Canis lupus familiaris: one gene and its partners. The protein of the gene in region 1 interacts with the protein of each later gene in a biochemical or structural test. Links are inferred from orthologs where the notes say so. Each region holds a gene or a part of one and is shown on either strand. Other genes may lie near its edges.

Region 1 (5,224 bases):
AAGCCTCAGGGCCAGACTTGATCCACTCAAAATTAAGGAGTGGCCAGCAAAGAAAACTTTGGAAACAAAGGGCACCACACTAAAAAGTCACTGCAGTTGGTGCTCTGCACTCTGTGTTCATCAGGACTCAAGGATGAGTCCACCTGCAGGCACTAGAAGAATGAACACATACATACACAGCAGACAGCCCTCCAATTCTAAGTCCTCGAGAATAGTTCCTGCAACATAATTATCAGTATCTAGCAGAACACTCGCCTTAGACAGGGTCTAGATGAGGATGTGTGGATGGAGATGGAACAGCCAAAACATTTTCACCCATCGGTGATCATAAGCAGAAAAACATTTTTTCACTGGAGGGGGAAAAAAAAAAAAAACGCTATGACTAAGTGTAAGCCTTTAAATATCTGCTTATTGAAGACATTTCCGGTATTAAGTCACACCACTCCACTGTCCAGAAAAATTGATTTGTTTAACCTGAAAATAGCTGAAATATAATGTCAAATATAATAGCCCACCACACTACAAAATACATGTTGCAGAGAAAGCTTAGTGACTTGTTTCCCTTTTCCTTTTTTCCTTTTGGGGGAAACTTAGTTAATTTTTATACAAAGCCATAAACATGATCTTTCTACATTTTTCCCCGCCAGATGACAGTTTGTCATGCCACATGTCACCTAGCAACTTAAATACCACTCTACAGCTAGCAGGCTACCCAGGTTCTTCATACAAAATGTATCTTGTCCTATTAAACAGTAAGAGGTAAAGAAGAGACATTAAGAGTTGAAGCAAGTGTTAATATGTGTTTGCTTCACAATCACCTTAAATAAGGTGGGAGAAGTGAGAAGAAAGACGAAAATTTAGTCTCAACCATTACCTAACAACTTAAGAAGAAAAGACACAAATGAACCTGGAAGTCACTCAAGCTCTTGCAACATCTGAGAGTCAACAGTCTTGTGATCCAATGATTAACCCTTGTGTACTACAAAGCCCATCTTAAAATTCACCCACTGAACTGTGAACTTCACTGAAAGAGGCTTTAAATAATTTTAGAACACCCTGACTCATCTCTAACTCCTCCCACTCATTTGTATCCCACTCCAATGCTACCATCATCCTCTGAGAATCACTCTTCCTTCCTTCTCCACCTGGTGTTCCATCTCAAACCCTCTAAAAACTCAGCTCGTGTGCTCTGGGATGCCTTTCCAGACTCTCTTAAGAAAACTGCACTGCCTTCTCCATGTTCCTGGGTCCCTAGGAAAACTATCACTAACATTTAAAAACAAGGTCCAGATCGATCTATCACGGAGACTCCTCAGTTACATTTACCCAATATCCCAGATCCATTCTCTTCTCAGTGCACCACAGCATGACAGTCCACACCACCGTCTCCTTCCCTTGAATGACCACAGAGCCTAGACTCTTACACTCCAACTTCCACAAAGCAGCCAGTGGGCCCCCTAGATGTCCAGCACCCAGAACAGTGCCTTGAATATAGTAAACGCTTAAGAATTTCCGTGGAAGGGACACCTGGGTGGCTCAGCAGTTGAGCGTCTGCCTTTGGCTCAGGGTGTGATCACGAAGTCCCAGGATCCAGTCCTACATCGGGCTCCCTGCATGTTCCTCCCTCTGCTTGTGTCTCTGCCTCTCTCTGTCTCTCTCTCATGAATAAATAAAATCTTTAAAAAAAAAAAATTCTGTGGAAGGAACGAACGACTCCATCAAACTATATTGGTATTTCGACCAATATCCACGGTGTGCATAATGGAACAACTCACTTTATGCATGTAAAATTAGTAAAATGAAAGGAAATGTCCTCTCTGTGTAGGAACACAGGCACAGTGCTTAGGACATATTATTGTATCTTTCTTTCCTTTCACAACTTATTTTGGTTTCCAAAGTATATATGCAACCTGATCATTGATTTAGAACATTCAGATCATAAACTGCCATTCATAAACAATCTTTTAAAATGCAAAACGTAGGTTTAGAGAATATGCTTCCCGTTGCCAGCAGTGCAAGATAAACGGGTGTCCAACTTCCACTAATTTTATTTGGTTTTCGATAAGTTAAACCAAGTGCAAGGAACATTTTAGAGCTGTTACATAGAGTCAACATCTTTCATCTTCATGTCAGGTTGCTAAAAGACCCCCCAGATTATCCTCAAAAGGCCGTATTTCCGCTATTCTTCCCGATATATACTAAAAACCAAACCGTGTAAAATGTATTTCTGCCTTAATTTCAGACGGCACGGGAGGCCGCGCCCTGTGTGCACTCAGGCCTGCAAAGTGCCGTCCCGTCCCGTGCCGTCAGCGTCACCGCCTCTCCAAGCCCCGGCGAGCCAGGCCACCTCGCAAGTGGGAAGCGCGTGAAGCGAACATGCTTTCGGCCCGACGTTGCTCCCGAGCCCAGGAAACGTCCCCGGGTGCTCGACAGAACTCAGGGGCTCGGCCGTCGCCAAACACGAGGGCCGGTAAAGCAATTCAACAAAATGTCTTTTCACTCGTGACACATTGTAGAAGAATGTAGTTAAGTGGAGACAGTGTTACCCGTCCACGGGGAAGAGGGGGCCTCCCCGCGGCCTCAGGCCCTCGCCGCAGCCCCGCACCGCGGGGAGCCGGCCCGGGCAGGCGGGCGCGGGGGTCCCCCGCGGAGAGACCTTCGAGCCGGCGACTGGCCTCGGGGGCTGCCTTCACGGGGCCCGCCCGGGGCGTCTCCAGCACCGCGACTCCGCGCCTGGCAGCGTGCACGGGCCGCGCGGGCGGGTGTCCCTCCCGGGGCTTCCTCCGCGACCGCGGCCGGCCACGGCCCCCACCGGCTGCCCGCGCTGCCGCGGCGACCTGGAGGCAGCAGCTGGCGGCCCCGGCCCCCCCCCCCCCCGGGCGGTGCCGAGCGCGGACGCGGCCGCTCCCCGCCGTGCGCCCAACAAACTCTCCTCCAACCTCAAAAGTTCCCGGTCCGCAGCCTCTGCCGCGGGGCGCGGGGCGCGGGGCCCGGGGCGGGGAGAGGCCTGAGGCTGGATTTCCAGCGCCCGCAGCGCGGCCCGGGGGAGAGCGGGTCCCGGCTGGGCTGCACGGCCGGAGCCCCGGGAGCGGAGGGGGGCGGAGGGGGGCGGAGGGGGGCGGAGGGGGGCGGAGGGGAGGGCCGCCCGAGAGGGGCCGCGGGGTCCTGCGCGCTCGGGCCCGGCTGCCCCCGCCCCCGCCCGGCCCGGGCCCACCACTCGGCCTCCCGCGGCCCGGGGCGGGGGGCGCCCGCGAGGCCCGGCCGGCCGCCGCACTTTCCCTTTCCCCGCCTCCCCTCCGTCTCCCTCCTCCCTTTTCCAGGAAGCGCCATATTGATCCCGGCGCTTCCCCCTCCCTCCTCCTCCCCGTCCCCGTCCCCGTCCCCGACCCCGTCCCCTCCCGCCTCCGCCCGCCCCCGCCCCGGCCCGCGCGCCCCCGGCCCCTCACCTTGGCGATGGCCTTCCGGTAGCGGGTCACCGCTTGCTGGATGAGGCTGAAAACTTTCATGTGCCCGTCCCCGCACGGCACGACCACCCGGGTCCGCCCGAAGCACACGGTCACTTTCATGCCGCCGCCGCCGCCGCCGCCGCCGCGGCCCTCGCCCCCCTGACCGCGGCGGAGCTGCCCGCGCTGGGCGCAGGGGCGCGGCGGGGCCGGGGCGCGGGAGACAGACCCGGGCGCGGGCTAGCGGCGGCGAGGGGCCTCGGCTCGCATGCCCGGCCCGGCCCGGCCCGGCCCGGCCCGGCCGCCCTCCCCGGCCCGGGGCCCGCCTCGCCTCTCCCCGCCGCGGCGCCCGCAGCCTCCGGCCACCTGTTCGGCGTCTCGGCGCGCTCGGCGGCGGCGGCCCGAGGCGGTGTGGCGCTCGCGCTCCTCGCTCCTCGCTCCTCGCTCCTCGCTCCTCGCTCTGGCTCCTCGGGCCGCGGGGGCAGGGGGGAGGGGACAGCAGCGAGGGGCGGGGCGGGGCGGGGAGGAGCGGGGCGGGGCGGAGCGGGGCGGGGCGGAGCGGGGCCCGGCACACAACACCGCGCACATGCGGCAGGGGAGGCGCGGGGCGGAGCGCACGCCCGCGGCCCACGCCCGCGGCCCACGCCCCCGCCCCCGCCCCCTCCCCTCCCCTCCCCGCCCCCCCCCTACCCCGGGCGCGGGCGGCCGCGGGGCCCCGACCGCTGGGACCCGCCCGGCACGCGGCCTCCCTCCGGGCCGCCCCTCCCCCGCCCCGCCGACCCCCGCCCGAGGCACCGCGGCCCTCCCCGGCCCCGCCCGCACCCCCGGCCCCGGCCCCGGCCCCGGCCCCGCCCGCACCCCTGGCCCCGGCCCCGGCCCCGGCCCCGGCCCCGGCCCCGGCCCCCTGGAGCGCCCCGGCGCGGCGCGGCGCGGCTGTGCTGGTGCGGTGGAGCCCTCCTCGGGGCGCCGCTCCACACCCCCACCCCGACACCCGGGGTCTCTCCAGAGCCCACCCCCTTCCTTTGTCACTTTTGATCCCTTCTCTCCTGCTGAGGGTTCGCGAGAAATCGTTCCTGGAGAAAACACTTTACTCGTGGCGCCGCGGACTGAAGGCACAGAGACGCTCGGAGAGGAGCCGTCCCCACGGAGCCCCAGGAGGACGGATGGGGCTGGCCAGGTTGTCCAGCGGAGGCTTCCCCTCCCGCCGCCGCCGTGCGCGCGCGCACACACACACACACACACACACACACCCGGGCCCAGGGTTCTGCACTGGCTCGCTGCTTGCTGGGCTGCAAGGCCGGCGTAGGCTGGTTGTGTGTTAAAAGCAAAAATTAAGAGCATCTGCTCTGGGGAGAGCTTCAGGAGGCTCTGACTCGACCTGGCCTTTCTCCAGAGGCCACACTATGTACCTTGAAGTTTCCTATGACCGACCCCCTGATGAGCCTCCCACTTCAACGCCTAGAATTCTAACACCCGCAATTCAGGTAATTCTATTTCTCAAAATTCTGCAACAGGAGCAATCCTAACACCACTTCATGAACGATATGCTCAGAATGCCTTGGGGGAAGCTGTGCAACGGGATCCCCACCTAAATCTCAGGAAGAGAGAGCAGCTCCATAATGAGTTACATGCACGGGGGACATGAAACATTTTAGAAGAAAGTGGACCGAGTCAAGAAAAGTAACTAGCGCTGGTCTCTGTCTCAGTTATGAGCCATGATTCCTTAATAACTGTATGTCCCTGTGTTTAAAGAATGGCCAATGCCAGCAGACAGTCGTTTG
Region 2 (4,771 bases), on another chromosome or scaffold:
ATTTCAGTACCATTTCAGATTTCACCGAAGATGGTTTTCTGTAAATACTGAAACATTGCCTCGCCCCACCCAGGACAAACAGGGTTCCTACAGGTGAGAAGATCCCTTCTTCCAACAAGCAATCTACCTTCCCAGTTGGGCTGCTTTTATAACATCCTGATGCAGAGAGATTTTCCAAGATGGACGCTAGAATACTGATCAACAAAACCTTCAAGGATCAGTGCAGTGCTGCGCGTGGGCCGCTGTAAAACAAGATCATCACATCAAATGCCTCTGTTCTGGATTCACTGGGTTAAACTGCCGTTGGAGGGTGTCGCGGGGGGTGGTGCTCCCAGCCCTGCTGCGCCGGCGCCCCGTGGCTGTCGTCCCACATACGGACTCCCCCTGGCTGATGGAGGTGAGTGGCAAACTGGCTTCACAGGCCTGCGGTACGCAGCCCAGCCTGTGAGCGAGAGCTTCCCAATCACCCGAACACGCAGGTAAGAGCCAGGCCAGAAACAGACGGGGAGTCAGCCTCAGGGAAATGCAGTTTTTTCCTTGTGATGACCGTGCCCATCTCGAGGAAAATTTTTTTATTCATGTGGCTTGTTAAAAAAGTAAGAAAGGAGTAGCGGTCAACTTTGGCCAAAACAAAAAGCTTTTGCGCAAGTGTCTAGCTCTGTCCGGGTGCACTTGGCTCCCAGGCCGCTCTTGCCAGGAGGTTCTGGTAGAGGTATTTGCATGTGCTCCCCCAGCCACACCGTCACAGTCAGATGACAAATGATGACTTGTGTCTGAAGTCGCCCTGCAATGGCAGCACAGGTTAGACACGGCCGGCCGCCCACCCTCTGGCAGCCCAGGGCCCCGAGGGGGAGGGGAGAGGGAGCGTGGACGTCGGGCCTGAGCCATTTCCCTAAAAAAAAAACTTAGAGCAAAATAGATCAAATGAAACCATTCTTCAAGAGGGACACCTACGAGAACCTGCGCACCGAACGCCAGAAGTGTGGACAAACTGTCCAAGGACAGCCATCACCTGCTCTGCTGGAAAGACCTCGATCTCTAGGTTTCCTAAATGACGTCTGCTCTGTTGCCTCATTCCTCTCCTTACCTCCTCATCTGTCCTGATATAGTTCACGCCATCTGGCTTCCCTGGACTCTTGTAACTGAAAAAGGAGGAGAAAGGGCTTCAATGACTATGACTTCGCGGGACGCCCGTGTACACTGGGCTTCGTCACCCAGCACAGAGGACAGGCTCACCTTTCGCCATTCTGTTTATTATTGACAAAGTAACCCCGTCTGTATGCGCAGCAGATGCCCACTGTTATCAGGGCCAGGACGGCAAGGACCACCAGGATCCCACCAACGATGCCGCCAACGTTCAGGTCATCTGGGGGAAGAGGGGTTGAGAGAGGGGAGGAACATGCCATCCGGTCTTACCACAGCCACCGATCCCACCAGGCCTCCCTCCTTCCTGCTCTTCCCTCCTCCCCGCTCCACCCTCATGCGCCCCCGCCCCCCCCCCCTCCCCCAGGCTATAGTAACACCACTTCAGTCTTTCCAGCCCAGAACATACAGGACCCTGGATCCCTGCCCTCACTTGTAAAAAGTACTGGGACCACCACAGTGCAAATGCTGTTACACTTAATCCTGTATTAAAAGGGGCTTAGCCACATATAGAAGGCTTATGGTCCTCCGGCTAATCCCTGAAAATATTATTAATGGAGGAAATGGTTCCATTTTATGAAGACCATTAGGAGCCAGGAATCCCCAAGAAAAAAAATCCCTAATTTCCAGGGATTCCCTCTGCTGTGCGTTATCTGGAGGAAAAGAACTAGTTTCGCACAGGACTGAAAAGTAAAAATCTGAGGTGGGAACGTGACCTTTCACTACCAGCTGCCTGGCCTCCTATCTACACGCCCCGTGGAGGAAACCCCTTGACGCCCTCCTCCCATTTCCACATACTTGGCAAAGGTACTCAGTCCCCATCAGTGTGGGGCACTGGGGCTGTTGCCTTCATGAGAGGATAATGCGGTGGAAAACAGGCAGCAATATATCCGCCTAAGCAACGAACTTCTCTTACTACGGTGGTTTCGAATGTGAGTGTGCAATTAAACACTGAAACTCTGACTTTACACTGTCCGGCCCCAAGCACTCTCACTAGAGATTCGGTGGGTGTGCAGCAAAGCCCAAGAGTCTTCCTCCTGCCCTGGAGCAGTTTCCTGCATCTGACAGATGTCAAGAATCCCCTGGAAACAGTTTAACACGCAGAAGTTCCCAGACCGCCCCTGGGGACAGAGTCCAGCGCCTGGGGTGGTGCCTTGCAATCCAACACTTCTCACAATCTGGCAAGCTTGGAAAACACTGCTCTGGGGTCAGTTATGCGCAGGAAGGAGGAAGGGGTGCCCCAGGTGGTGATGATGGTGACATGCCCCATCCGCCCCATCCTGCCTTCCAACCTCCCCTGTAGAACCAGGACTCCAGAGACGGTGTCCTCACAGAACAGGGTAACTGGGTGTCAGCTGACCACAAAATGACGGTCAACTAAATAAATTTCTGGAGACCTTATATAGGTTATGTCTTGATAAGTCTATCAATTATCAAAAAATTGGAGTTTATTTAAGCAGGTGCCACATGCTGCGTGAGCCCAACATGGGGCTCACACTCCCCTGAGATCAAGGCCGGAGTCAAACCGTTAACTGACTGAGTCACTCAGGCACCCCAAAATGGAGTTTATTAAATTCAGTTAAAAGTGATATGAGTAACTATGTTCCCAACATCAGAAGACTCCAGAAAGTCTATTTTGAGGAGATAAACATATTGCAAGTACCCACTTATTAGTCATTTAGCTGTTACTCAGACTTTTCTCATCTGTCCTTTCAATGTACCCGAGTGGGTTTTGGGGACTCCAGTCATCTCCAGAAGAAAGCTGACCACTTGTCTAAACTGATGGTCTAATATTAAATTAAAAACGTTCTATCCACTTGACAGTCTGCAGATGAAATATCTTCACGAAGTAACTCACAGACTTCCATCTGCTGCTCCTCACATCTGGCCGAGCCTGCGTCATTGGAAGCGATGCAGTAATACTGCCCAGAGTCCTCCTTGTGAACAGCACTGAAAACCTGTTTCGGAAATGACAGTCATGAGTCCAAGCAACGGGGTGGACCCCCTGGGCTGAAGGGAAGAGCCTGACCAACGGGCTAAGTCCAGAACGGAGCAAGAGGTCTGCTCAGTTGTCTGGGTTCCTGTTCAGCTTCCTAGTCACCGTCCCGGCTCTCCCCCGATTCCTTTCCCAAAGTCTCGCCCAGGAGCTCCTGAAGAGTGAGATCTGCTCAGGGTTTGGAGATCTCGAGGCCTGGCAACATCCAGGATGCAGGCTGAGTTTTGCCTTGCTTCAGGGAAAGGGGCTCTGGTAGAGGATTATCCCTCAGCAACGCCTGGGCGATACCAGTACAGAGGATGCCATCCAAACCAGCTCGCCACGAGTGCGGTTAGATACACCACGGATCGGGAGGCCTGGCTGCAGTGGAGCCCAGGGAGAGGCTGCGGAGGGGGCAGCCTGTCCTCCACACACGACCCATCTTACTTCACCTCTCCCCTCACTGGCTTCCCTCCACTGGGTTACTTTGAAGACCATTCTAGACATGTTTTCCCCATAAATTCTCCAGCAGGCATCTCTAAAACATAAGGACTTCTTCAGATGGAACCCAACTGCCCGGTCTCTTGATTTCTCTAGGTGGTTATTCACATCAGGACCCTGACGTCACCAACCCATTACATTGATTTCATACACCTCCACAATCCCCTTTATTCTACAAGTTTCCTTTCCTCTATTTATTCCCTGAGCGCTTATTTGCTTATAAAGAGGAAGAGAGGTTCATTTTTCCCAGACTCTCCAACAGTATGGGGTTTTGGCTCCTGTCTTACAAAGCTCATTGTGTCTCTTAATCAGTGCTCTTTCCACACGAGGTACCCCTTCCCCAACAAAGATGTTTCTAGCCTCACCTCTGAGAAGAGATCTTACCAGAGTGCCTGTTTCAGAGTTTAAAAGAAAAGAGGAGTTTCGAAATCTGGGATTGGCTCTGGAATCTGTGGGCAGCGGCACATCATTGCGGTACCAGCTGTAGTGGGGCCGGGGGTAGCCCTCACTCTCCTGGCAGTGCAGCGTGGCCGTCTTGCCCACAGGGACAGCCTTCGGGACTCTGCACACAGGAGATACTGGCTTCACTGTGGGAGGAATACGGGTTGGGGTTTCAAGTCAGTGACGTAGAAGGATTCTTCTCAAAGCCCACAATTAATCTGTTCCAAAACCAGGAGAGCCAGCCAGGCGATGCCCCACTGCCATCCCCATGTCACAACCACAGGCTCAGATCTGCCTCCGCATCTGCCCCCAGCTCACCCCCCCACAGATAACCCCACAGCACGTTTCTGACGCCTCCACCCCCCTGAGGAGTGCCTTCTACAACTGGTGAGGGGAGTAGCTGGAGCTCCCCTTACCTTCTCACCTTGCACCCCAGCTCAGGCGGTTTCAGCGCCCACAACCGCCCATTGCCTAAGTCCCGTGATGCCCCGAGGGATGTAGCTCTAGAGGGAACGAGTAAGAGCTGATCTTTTATTTTAATTCTTATTTATATTTCCCCTTCCAATCTTTTTTATGGACAGACTCATGAGGCCTGAGAGGGGGAGTGTGTTAACTTCATGTGAGTTCCTACCTTGTACAGTTAACTCAATGACAATCTCATCAATTTCTTTGCGGTCGTTTCGAGCAACCACCTCACAGCGATAAAGGGCT
Region 3 (4,771 bases), on another chromosome or scaffold:
ACCCTGGGAAGAGAGCCTTGCCTTGTCAAGCTGGACTTCTGATCTACAGAACTGTGAGCTAATAAACAGGTGGTGGTGTAAGCTGCTTGGTTTGTGATCATTTGTTATGTAGCAAGAGAAGACTAATACACCAGCTGAATCTCCTGCAAAGTTTTCTGAATTTAATTTCTGCTATACTAGCGAGTGACTAGCATTTTAGAAAGACCCTGGGTTATATAGAAAAAGGAAGAGGAGTCATTTTACTCTCTATGGTCAGCAGTTTTTACAGTAACATCCAGGGGGAAGAAAAGATCATGTTCCTCCACCAGTTGTCATCATGAGCTGTTAGTATCTATCAGGGATTCTCATAGTAGCTAAATATATTGGCTTTGGAGTTAATCCCACCAGGATCCAAATCCTGGTCCAGACAATTATTAGCTATGTAGACTTGGAAAAAATCGTTTAGCTTCTATTTTCTCATCTATAGAAATGAAGCTGTCAGTGAAGATTAAGTAAAATTATGTATGTGTAAGAGCCTAACATATACTAGCTGCACAATAAATCCTAATTTCCCTTCTTTACCCAATTTCTTTTCTTTTTTCTTTTCTTTGTTCTTTCATTTTCTTTCCCTTTCTTTTCTTTTTTACCAAATAATTTCTAATACTTTCCCTGACCTACTTTTTTGTTTTAAGGCTTTTCCGTCATCTCGTGTGATTGGATTTTATATGTAAGAGATAGACCCTGTATACTGAAAGGTACTGAAAAATAAACTGTTAGGGGAAAAACTCCTGTGTAGAAGATAGGGCCATTAAGATTTACCTTAACCTGAAATGAAAAGAGATTTTTGTCACAACAAATTTCTAAGAGTAAAATTTTGGCAGCGAATGAGGTGAAAAGGGGCAATAGCCAAGATTTTACAGGAAAGGTGGTGTTGGTGATTTCTAGAACTTTCCTAACCAGGGCCCCAGGTGGCCTAGGTGATGGGGATGAGGGTGGAGAACAGTAATCCTACAGCTACAAGCACATCACACCTAGCACTTCTAGAGTGACCGTATCTTCTTCCAGGTTTTGGCCTTGCTCAGATGGGGCACTAACTTCACAGCGGTATTTCCCAGCATCATTTCTTGTAACGTTTTTGATCCGTATACTGAAGTCTATCATCTCGGCTCGATCTTTAAAATCACCTTTTAGAAAAAGAAAACAATAATGTTAATAATAATGCAAATAACTTTCTATATACTACCTTCCTCTAGTCACTTCATTCAGTGACCAAGGCATTTGTTTCCCTATTAATGAACTCAATTTAAAACTCAAAAAGGACTCTTAAGTATAGGAAACAAACTGAGGGTTGCTGGATGGGGGCATGGGGTAACTGGGTGATGGGCATTAAGGAAGGCACGTGATGTGATGAGCACTGGGTACTGTAGCAACTGATGAATTACTGAAAGTCTACGTCTGAAACTAATGACCTATTATATGTTGGCTAATTGAATTTAAATAAAAAACTCAAAAAGTTATATGCCGATGCTATTTCAAATTTCTTCTTCTTTTTTTTTTTTTTTTTTAGAATAACAGTTCACAAAAGAACATTGGGTTCAATATTCTCATATTTTAGAAGATTCAATCCTCATTCTTGCCTCATCCCCTTTCTAATAAGCTTATATAAACATTCACACCTTCAGAAGGCACTGCAGCATCTAGTTAATTTAGCTGGAACAGTAACTTTATGTGTGGTGGCCCACATCATACTGCCCCAAAAGAAAAGGTGAATGGGTCTTAAAAACACTCTTTTGATTAGTGTTTGGTAGTAACATGTACAGAATGAAAATAGTGTTTTGTAAAACATTCAGGTGCTAGATTGGCAATGGTAGAAAATTCAAGCAAAGACAGCCCTGTGGCCTGCAGCAGTCCTATCCTGACAGATGAAAACAAGATGGGTATTTTAAATTCTTTATGGACTTTAAACATCTGTTCACATACTTAATTCTTTTAAAATTAAAGTAATGCATAGTATTCTAAAATAATAACATGCTTCCTATACTTGTTATATTTCCAACTTTTAAAATGTTTATAATGGAAAATTTCAAGCACACAAAAAATTACGGAGTATTGTAAAATAAAACTCATCACCCAGCAATAACAGTAACCCATGCATGGTCTATCTTATTCCATCTGTACCTCTAAACACTGAATTATTTTGAGGTAAGTCCCATACATCATAGCATTTTATCCATTATTATCAATACTTTAAAAGCTCAGTATATATTCAACAGGAAAACAGCAAGTGGAAAGAAATGGATAAAAAATAAAGAATTAAAAATAAAGCACTGGTTAAAGATAGTTGTGTTTACCCTTCCCCAACCAGAAGTCTAAGTCTTAACTCTGTAGAGCTCTTAGCTATGGCCTACCTTCCTAGATGGTGATATGGAAATAGGGTAACATTATTACCACAGAACATCTCACTTCCACACCATCTCATCTTCCTTTCTCTCAAGAGTCTAATCTACTGGGTCAGCAAGAACCACTGCATTTTATATCCTTTAGGACTGAGTTGAGACACGAAGGGTCTAGGGCCTCCATGGTGTTCAACTTTCTTCTGTTCTCTGTCCCGTTTTCATGGTGATTATGCTTTAGGTCTCAGTCATTGTTGGGTTCATCTTACACTTACAAAACACATTCTCTTTCACCATACATAAAAATAAACTCAAAATAGATTAAAGACCTTAATATGAGATCCAAGACCATAAAAATCCTCAAAGAGAAAACCTGTGCTCTCTGACATTGGCTGTAGCAAACAGTTTCTAGATAGGTCTCTGAGGAAAGGGGGAAAAAAGCAAAAATAAACCATTGTGACTATATCAAAGTAAAAAGTTTCTGCATAGTGAATGAAATAGTCAACAATGTTAAAAGGCAACATATGGAATGGAAGAAGATATTTTCAACTGATATATCTAATAAAGGGTTAGGATTTAAAATACATAAAGAACTGAAAACCCAAAAAACAAGTAATCCAATTAAAAATGGGCAGAAGACATGAATAGACATTTCTCCAAAGAAGACATACAGATGGCTAACAGACACATGAAAAGATGTTCAACATCACTCATCATCAGGGAAATGCAAAACAAAACCACAATGAGGTATCACCTCACATCTGTCAGAATGGCTAACAACAAAAACACAAGAAATAACAGGTGTTGGTGAGGATAAAGAGACAAAGGAACCCTTGTGCACTGTTGGTGGGAAAAAATTAAAAACAGAACTAGCCTATGATCCAGGAATCACACTGGGTATTTGCTCAAAAGACACAAAAACACGAATTCAAAGAGATATATGCACCCCTATCTTTATTGCACCATTATTTACAACAGCCAAATTATGGGAGCAGGCCAGTGTCCACTGATAGATGAATGGCTAAAGAAGATGTGGTAGATATATATAAAAATGGAATATGGCTCAGCTATAAAAAGAATGAAATCTTGGTATTTGCAACAACATGGCTAGAACAAGAAGGTAGTATGCTAAGTGAAATAAGTCAGTCAGAGAAAGACAAATACCATATGGTCTCACTCATATGTGGAATTTAAGAAACAAAACAGTAAGCAAAGGGGAAAGACACACACACACACACACACACACACACACACACAAAACAACAACCCAGGAAATAGACTCTTAAGTATAGATAGAGAGCAAACTGATAGTTACCAGAGGGAAGGTGTGTAGGGGAATGGGGGAAATAGGGGACAGGGATTAAGAGTACACTTATCATGATGAAAATAACATAACATAAAATAAAACAAAATAAAATGATTAAAAACCCCACATTCTCAGTAATTAGCCCTTCCCTGTTCCCATTGGTAAGTTAAAGAACCCAGGCTGTACTTGGTGTTCTCTTGCTCTCACCTCATCAAGTCTATAGCTTCTTACCTTGAAGAGCCTGTTGGTAGTAGACAAAGGAGACACTCCGGCCCAGTTTCTTCCACTCTAATCTGGAGGAGATGGTCTTCTTTGGGTATTTGCAGGCTAAAATAACCTCTGGGAACAACAACAAAAAAACTTGTTTTCTAATGGTCCCTATGAATTTATATTTTACTTAAGTAAATTTTTAAACAGCCATAAGCTACTCCTTTATACTTCCATCCATCCATCCATAAATTACCTCAATGGGCACCACGTTGGCTTAACCCAAAGATGAACTGAAAGCATTATAGCTCTTCTCCATAGTAACTGCATGACACTATGCTACTGACCCTAGTTCTTGAGACTCATTATCATCTGTAAAATAAGATAGTATCTTAGAGAGTTGTGAGTCTTCAAATATAGTAATACATGCAAAGCATGCATGTCTGGACACGGTAAGTAATTTAAAAATGGCAGTTATGATCAATTATTTATCATTTATCCCACTATTCCCAGTCTCAGTCATCAGGGAGTTTATAGCCTGGTGGAAGAGGCAATTAAGATAAAGTAATTTTGTTCCATTGTGATAAGGGCCATGAGCGCCATGGAGGTAAACAGAGGCTGCTTCACATCCAGTGCCTAAGAAAAGCACTCAGTCCAGCCCATGGGATCCACAAACATTCTACCAACATGCGATGTTCCCACTCAGACCCATTCTTGGATGATCCTCTCTATGGGTATGTTGCTACAACCCCAATATAATCTATTAAATCATGGATTCCTACTCCTTATCTCTATCCAGATAAATTATGAGAAGATTTAATCTTGGCATCCAGTTTAACTGCCTCACTGTAGCTCATTTAGGTCACTTTATTACAGGAAATTTACT

The links. The genes of interacting proteins can lie anywhere in the genome.
Region 2: the proteins of PARD3 (region 1) and JAM3 form a complex in vitro, tested with the Homo sapiens proteins (2 studies listed by BioGRID and IntAct, with this or other methods). The link is inferred for Canis lupus familiaris from reciprocal best matches to the Homo sapiens genes PARD3 and JAM3.
Region 3: the proteins of PARD3 (region 1) and junctional adhesion molecule B form a complex in vitro, tested with the Homo sapiens proteins (2 studies listed by BioGRID and IntAct, with this or other methods). The link is inferred for Canis lupus familiaris from reciprocal best matches to the Homo sapiens genes PARD3 and JAM2.

Annotation. Positions count from the first base shown.
Region 1 is NC_049223.1:2,362,235-2,367,458, reverse strand, and holds the start of PARD3 (partitioning defective 3 homolog), read right to left. Parts: upstream 3,613-5,224; 5' UTR 3,567-3,612; coding exon 3,447-3,566; intron 1-3,446. UniProt on the Homo sapiens protein: Adapter protein involved in asymmetrical cell division and cell polarization processes. Seems to play a central role in the formation of epithelial tight junctions. Targets the phosphatase PTEN to cell junctions.
Region 2 is NC_049226.1:1,111,670-1,116,440, forward strand, and holds part of JAM3 (junctional adhesion molecule C), read right to left. Parts: coding exon 4,692-4,771; intron 4,207-4,691; coding exon 4,004-4,206; intron 3,102-4,003; coding exon 3,002-3,101; intron 1,367-3,001; coding exon 1,237-1,366; intron 1,143-1,236; coding exon 1,088-1,142; intron 785-1,087; coding exon 749-784; 3' UTR 1-748. UniProt on the Homo sapiens protein: Junctional adhesion protein that mediates heterotypic cell-cell interactions with its cognate receptor JAM2 to regulate different cellular processes. Plays a role in homing and mobilization of hematopoietic stem and progenitor cells within the bone marrow.
Region 3 is NC_049252.1:21,727,568-21,732,338, reverse strand, and holds part of junctional adhesion molecule B, read right to left. Parts: intron 4,018-4,771; coding exon 3,910-4,017; intron 1,164-3,909; coding exon 1,011-1,163; intron 1-1,010. UniProt on the Homo sapiens protein: Junctional adhesion protein that mediates heterotypic cell-cell interactions with its cognate receptor JAM3 to regulate different cellular processes. Plays a role in homing and mobilization of hematopoietic stem and progenitor cells within the bone marrow.